2 linked regions of the Macaca mulatta genome follow. The protein of the gene in region 1 purifies or fractionates together with the protein of each later gene. This does not show direct contact. Links are inferred from orthologs where the notes say so. Each region holds a gene or a part of one and is shown on either strand. Other genes may lie near its edges.

The links. The genes of interacting proteins can lie anywhere in the genome.
Region 2: the proteins of MALT1 (region 1) and CSNK1A1 purify together in Homo sapiens (affinity purification with western blotting; 3 studies listed by BioGRID and IntAct, with this or other methods). This does not show direct contact. The link is inferred for Macaca mulatta from reciprocal best matches to the Homo sapiens genes MALT1 and CSNK1A1.

Annotation. Positions count from the first base shown.
Region 1 is NC_133423.1:22,322,937-22,326,436, reverse strand, and holds part of MALT1 (mucosa-associated lymphoid tissue lymphoma translocation protein 1), read left to right. Parts: intron 1-3,106; coding exon 3,107-3,273; intron 3,274-3,500. UniProt on the Homo sapiens protein: Protease that enhances BCL10-induced activation: acts via formation of CBM complexes that channel adaptive and innate immune signaling downstream of CARD domain-containing proteins (CARD9, CARD11 and CARD14) to activate NF-kappa-B and MAP kinase p38 pathways which stimulate expression of genes encoding pro-inflammatory cytokines and chemokines.
Region 2 is NC_133411.1:158,512,786-158,516,752, forward strand, and holds the start of CSNK1A1 (casein kinase I), read right to left. Parts: upstream 2,801-3,967; 5' UTR 2,314-2,800; coding exon 2,191-2,313; intron 1,521-2,190; coding exon 1,414-1,520; intron 1-1,413.

The DNA of each region.
Region 1 (3,500 bases):
CCGGAAAAGCTAAAATTGTTTCAGAAATAAGCATAGTTAAGAAATTAGCTTTAATATTATTTTAATATCCCCATATTCTTATTGCATAGTAAGAGCTAACCTTTATTGAATGTCTGTTACCTGTCAAGCACTGTATTAAACACTTCTTACATGGATTAGCTATTTAATTCTAACAACTCTATGAGGTAGATAATGTTACTAATGAAATTAATTTGATCGTATACATTTTTTCCATATGAAATAATTAACATCGTTGAATTATAAATCTTGGATGACAGTATAAATGGTATGGTAGCATCTTAATAAGACTACTCAAAATGAATGAGGATTAATATTTCAAGCAATAAAATAGCTTGCTAACCTTGATTCTGTCACACCCCAGGACTATTATGTTTCACCCCTTGCATCTATTCAGGCTTTCAGCCTTGACAGTTATGATTGAAATTCATTCAGTAATCTTTCATTTATGCATAATTAATATGGACAAGACAGAATTTTAGGTATTGAGGGATTTTATGTCTGTGTGTGTGTGTATACACACACATGTATGTTTAATATGCTGGGGTTTCTGTTTTCAAGGAGTTTACTATAATCTAGTTGGATAAAGAAGCTTTTCTTCATGAGCATGAAGAAAAGCTCACAGTTCTGAGGTTAAATTATGTGAGATAAAACATGAAACAAGTCTGCACAAGACTGCTTAAGGCCCAAATCCAGGCTGCTACTTGTTTCATATAACCCATGATTTAAGACTGGTTTTTGTGTTTTACGAATTGTAAAACAAAACAAACAACAACAAAGAAGAATGTGTGATAGAGACTTTATGGCCCAGAATATCTAAAGTATGTACTCACTGGCCATTTAGAAAAACAGTTGTCTATAGAATTAGTGCAATTAGAAGACTGTGTGTATAAAGTGTGTTTGGTGGACTGGTGTGGTCTAGGAGGACCTTATAGAGAAGCTAGAGTTAATATGGGACTGTAATTGAAATTGGCAGGAAAAGGAGCAGGATCTGCAAAGATGGATGAGGTATGAATTCTATAGTATATCACGCAGATTATCTGAACACTTTGGTTGGCTGCTGTTGGTTATGTTTCTTTGGGAAAGTTTTTGTGTCATTGATTGCTTGGTTTTTACTTTATTCTTTTGTCTCCCCTTGCATGTTTCATACTTGTATTTTCCCCTTCTATAACATGATTACAATTCATATATTGTTCCATTCTTTGTGGCCTTCTATGATCTGATCTTAACCTATCTTTCTAATCTCGTATACCACTGCGGCACACGATAACATGGAAAAGGAAATTGTATATGTATGTTAAATACTGGTATTTTTAAAAGAATAGTTTTAACAAAAGGACAGTAAGACACTCTTTAAAGGAAGGGTTAGCAAACTATTTCCATAGAGGACCCAGTGGTAAATATTTTTGGCTTTGCAGCCAGGTATTCAGCTCTGCTGTTGTATCAGGAGAGCTGCCATAGACATTTGTAAATATGTGAATGAATGAGTGTAGCTGTGCTCCAATAAAACTTTATTTACGGATATCAGGTAGCTGAACACATTTGGCCCACAGGCCATGGTCCCTGCAGTAGGATATTTCTAGGTACTTAGAAGTACTTTGGTTTCTTTTTTCTTTTTTTTTAAGAGAGTCTCGATCTGTCGCCCAGGCTGGAGTGCAGTGGCACGATCTCAGCTCACTGCAATCTCCACCTCCTGGGTTCAAGCGATTCTTGTGCCTCCTGAGTAGCTGGGACTACAGGCGTGCGCCACCAGACACCAGCTAACTTTTGTATTTTTAGTAGAGACGGGATTTCACCATGTTGGCCAGGCTGATCTCAAACTCCTGGCTTGATGAGATCCGCCTGCCTTGGCCTCCCAAAGTGCTGGGATTACAGGTGTGAGCCACCATGCCCAGCCTAAGTACTTTGAATGTCAATAGTACTGGTTCTCTTTCTAAATCTACTTTTTAAAAATTATCAAAAGAGCCAGGAGTGGTGGCTCCAGCACTTTGGGAGGCAGAGGCAGTATTATCGCTTGAGCCCAGGAGTTCGAAACAAGCCTGGGCAACATAGCAAGACACCATCTCTATTAAAAAAAAAAAAAACTATCAAAAAATAAATACACATAAAAAATCAACCGTACAAAAGGGATTATAGTGAAAAGTAGATCATCCAGCCATGAGCTCTACTCTCTTACCCTCTCTGAGGCAACCATGGCTATGAGTTTCTTAGATACCTTTTCAAAGTTTACTCTCCATGTATAAGAACACACACAAAGGATCTTGGTAATAGCAAACACTGTTCTGTATCTTCCTTTTTTTGTATGAATATACACACAGACATACTATCTTGTTAACGCAAATAGTGTAAAATATACAGTTGTTTATGTTAATTCCTTCATTTCTCAGTATGTCTTGAAGACCTATGCCTTTACCTCAGGCTCAGTTTTTTTTTACTGAATTAACAGTATTTCATTTGATATGCATGCCCTACTGTATTTGAACTAGTAATTAAGGATATTTTAAATGTTTTTCCATTGCTAACCTTGTAACATTGATTGTTCTGTTTAGTGTCATTTTTGAGACATTAGCCTGTCTTCCTTTCAATTCAGAGTACTACCAACACCATTTGTATACATGCATGTGCCTATGATTTAAGATATTTTGGCTCCCTAATGGAATGAGTGCATATTTCTTTCACTCAGGAGGCAGCAAAATGTAGCCTACTGGGGCTTCATTTGGGGTCACTTTGTATTTCACCATCTTTGAAGAAGGAGTAAGGAAATTTTTCTGGCCTTCCTATTCCCCATTCCTAAATTAAAGGCAAAAATCCTTTAAGTATCAGGGCTCAATTTCTCTCACATCCTGTTTCTAGGTTTCTCATTCTCCTGATTTAATAATCATGGGAGCTGAGTGGGAGAAGGGAATAAAGAGGGATTCCCCATGAGGAAAGAGGAGGAAAGGATACTTGCATTCATTATGTGAAAGTTTGTCACCACCCACCCACTCCCTTGTGATTTATTCCGTACAGCACCACCGCGGTCCAGATGTATAGCAGGTGTAGCATGTGGAAGAAAGCTGTTGACTTGAATTCTTTCTGTTGCTTTCAGTTGCCTAGACCTGGAGCAGTGTTCTCTTAAGGTGCTGGAGCCTGAAGGAAGCCCCAGCTTGTGTCTGCTGAAGTTAATGGGTGAAAAAGGTTGCACAGTCACAGAATTGAGTGATTTCCTGCAGGCTATGGAGCACACTGAAGTTCTTCAGCTTCTCAGCCCCCCAGGTAGGTTTGGTTCTTAGGAGTTCGTGGAGCCAAACTTAGAAGAAAATCTCTCTTTTTGACCAGGTGAATGGTGTGAAGTATTTTTGGAAAATGTAAATGTGTAGGGCCTTGTTTGCTTTCCCAGGTTGAGACTAAAGAGCGCATAAAAAGCAAATGCAGCGCATGAATATTGGTTGGGTTGTGGTTGAAGAAACCAGCTACATGAGACATTTTTGAGATAGTTGGAA
Region 2 (3,967 bases), on another chromosome or scaffold:
CTGGCCAACATGGTGAAACTAAAATACAAAAATTAGCTGGGTGTGGTGGCGGGCGCCTGTAATCCCAGCTACTCAGGAGGCTGAGGCACTAGAATCGCTTGAACCCAGGAGGCAGAGGTTGCAGTGAGCCAAGATCGTGCCATTCACTGCACTCCAGCCTGATCGACAAGAGCGAAAACTCAGTCTCAAAAAAAAAAAAAAGAGTCTCCAGCAAACAGTAAACACCATTCTCACCTATTCTGAATATTTTTGCAAAAGGTATTTTAGATTGTTGCTGAAAAATAGCTTGGTTTTAAACTATATTTTAGTCTCCATTCCATGAAGAGGCTCTTTAATCCCAAAAGTTAAAACATTACTCTAAAACCCTCCAAAGTAAAGTTAACCATTTGACAGAACAATGTCTTTCTATCTCGTCATCTTTTATCCTCGTTACTGCAATTTGCACTCACCAATATTCCACACCAACAAAGGCCGCAATTTCTCTGATATTAAGATTTACTGCCAAACTCAACAGGTTAAAATTACTTATCAAAGTGTGGCTAAGTGATTAAGATTTCTTTTAATACAATTGATTTGAGTAAATTTTAACATAGTTGGTGCTGCTCAAACTGCCTTTGCCATTACCTATACAAATTTAGTCCCGACTGAAATGTGCCAAATATGACCATTCACGAAAGGAAAGCGTAATTAACACTTTTAAAAGAACCACAAAGGATTTTACATAGTATAATTCAACAATTTCATGTCACATCTGCTGCAGAGATCACAAACATTGTCACTATGCCATCTCCTTCCTCGAACCCCCACACCGCCTCCTGCAGCTTTATTCTTGGCTTTTCAAAGGTTTAATCCACTCGGGGCTGCTAAAGGAGGAATCAAGGAAGCATAATTTGTGAACCCAAGCTGAGAAAAGGGCAGGAATATGGGGTTGAGTCACGTCGTTCCGCCATTTTCTAAGCGGAGGAGGAAGACATGTTGGAACAAAAACACAACAAAAGAGCAGCCATTTCCCAAGCCAGCTCCAATAGCAACTCGAACTGACACTGCCGGGTCGCTTCAGCACCTTCAAATCCACTTCACTGGACAAACCTAAGAACATCAGACGTGCCGCCGTAAAAAAGGCAGCAGCCAACCCTTCCGCGTAGGGATCAAAGATGACCCGCACGCCTAACTGCAAACGAAAGCCTCGGGAAGAGAATGACGGAAGCGAAATGGAGCAGTGTAATACAATGAAATAAGTTGGCAAATTGAAATTTACTCAGTGATTGCGATGACTTACAGGAAGGCACCAGCTACAAGGAACCCAGGTAACTAAAACAAGACCCGGATTCAGCTGGTCTCATTACCTGCCTCTACCCACTTCCCCATTCCGTGCTTCCCTCAGCGGATCGCCTACATGCACGGGGTTCTTACCGTATGTGGGGGATGCCAACCCCACCTTGAAGAATCTTATAGAGCTTGCTCTCGTACAGCAACTGGGGATGCCTGGCCTTCTGAGATTCTAGCTTCACTGCCACTTCCTGCAGGGGAAAGAGGGGATGATGGCATCAACATCCCTACGGATTCAGTGTCATTTAGGAAAGGAGAGAGACATTAGCAAAACTCCAAGTCGCGACTACAAGGAAGAAGTGAAAAGCTGGAAAGAGAAAGCTCTCTGTAATTATAAAACGAGGCAACCAGCCTCAAAGGCCTCTTCAGGGGGTAGTGACGAAATCGTACGTCCTCTAAAGTGCAGGAAAATGATTCATCCAGAAAAAAGAAGCAACCTCTGAACGTAGTGAGAGGTTTTTAAGGAACTAGGCAATCGGAAACTGTTCTAATTGGAACAAGAGGCCCAGTAGGATTAAAAATTAAATAAAAGAAAAGCAAAGCAAAGCATGGGAATCACAGAAAGAGGATTTTGCCGTTTCCACCTTAAAAGTCGGTTAAAAAAAAAACAGCTCGACGAAGGGACATTTATGGGACGTGTTTAACAAGCTGGGAAACTAGTTCCCCCAACCTTTCTATCGGGTTCTTGACCCTTTTAGGGAGAGAGCGGGCGAGGATCGCAAGCCAGGAAAACTAGCTCCCTGGACTCCCTGGCGAGTGCGTGCGGTGAGGAAAGGCCCGAGCACTTTGGGGGTGCGCGGTGGTGGTGGGGGGAATGAGGAAAAGCGCAGCGTTATCGTGAACCCCACCCCAGGTGATTACCTCGCCGTTGGTGATGTTGATCGCCAGATAGATGTCCCCGAAGGAGCCAGACCCGATCTTCCGTACCAGTTTATATTTCCCTCCGACAATGAATTCGGCCTTAGAGCCGCTGCTACTCGCCATCCTGAGAGACGAAGATGGAGTCTGGGGCCAAGCCCCGACACCTCTGGGAAGACGACGGAGGCCTCTGGGGCTCCTACACTGGGCAAGGCTACGGAGGAAGGCGGCAGGAAACAGAACACGGAGGCCTTTACCGGCGTTCGGGGCCCAGAATCAGCCGAGCGGAACCTGATCACCGCCGCTCGGTCAGGTTTCTTTTTGCCAGGCCGCAGTTTGTGAAGGGCTTCTCGCGGTTACCAGGCTGGGCCACTTGTTTCTCGGCGGCCGCCGCTGCCTCGCTTGCGCGGCGACGTCGCGGGCTGGAAAAGGGGCGCGGTGAGCTAGGGCGGCGATACAGCTACCACCACTGCCGCCGGCTCCGGCCCTGAGGGACCCCTGTCACTCCGCCGACGCCGCCATCTTGTTACTCCAGCTCCAGCCAACACAAAATGCCCCCAGTCCCCGGGAGCCGCTTCTTCACGGCGCAGAGCACTCTGGGAAAGGGATCTGGGGCGCTCGCTCCGAAGGATCGGCAGCGAGAGGGCGGAACCGGATCCGTGAGAGTCGCGGCCCACGCTCCGAGCGTCACCCTGTCACCGCCCAGTAGCGCATGAGCGCTGCAACTCCTGCTGACTGCGCAGGCGTGCCGCGGCCTGCCTCACCCCGCCCCGGGCTTTCTTCCACTTCCGGTCGGCGGCGGCTCAGCTGGTGTTACCTGTTACTCGCCTCGGACCCGCAGGGTCTCTGGAAGGCTGAGTGGCCCCAGGCCTCGATGTTGGGAGGAGTCACCTTCATGTTTCGTGTCAGGCCTCCTTAGGAGTTGGGTATTGACCTTTGCTCTTTGAGGCGGTTTTTAACCTTTGATCTTTCTTCTGGCCGCTCCCCAGGACCGGCCTATTCCAACCCAGTTTCTGTTTGGAAAGAGGCTATCGCCTCTGGTGGAGAGGAAGAGAAAAGCAGCCCGCGTTGAGGAATCGTTCAGGGCTCTCGGTTATAGCAAAACCTAGCTAATTACCCTTCATAATTAGAATTTTCTTCTCTACTACGGAGTGTTATAGACCCTCTTTCCACAGGAGGGGAAAAAAGAAAGAAGCCGGAATCCCCCTGCCGTCCTACGTCTTTGCATTATTGCCTCACTACCACTTTTGATCTTCAGAAGAAAACCCAGTATCTTGTTCATAGTGAAGATTAGGGATAGATGGAATCAACAGAAAATTAATTTAACAAGAGTGAAAAAACTGTTATGCCCCCCAACCCCACCAAAACAACAACAAAGAATCGTATGTTGGTCATGTTGAAAACCGCAGTATTAACCTGAACAGAGTAGAGGTAACTATTACAAAATTTAATTGACAACATTTAAAGCTACACGGAAATTTTTTTCTTTTTTACTAAAAATCGATCAGAGAATCAAATCTTGACCACATTTTGTATTACAAAATTTGACCTGGGAAAATTGGGTTGAGTAATAGTAATGTTCACAAAAGAAAGCTCCATGGTTTATGCTATCATCTTAAGTCAGACCTCAGTCGTAAACATTTAAGCTAAGCCTATCCTAAATAAAATTTAATTAAAATAGAAATGAGGGCCGGGCGCAGTGGCTCACGCCTGTAATCCCACCACTTTGGGAGGCCGGGGCGGGCAGATGACTTGAGGTCAGTTGTTCGAGACCAGCCTG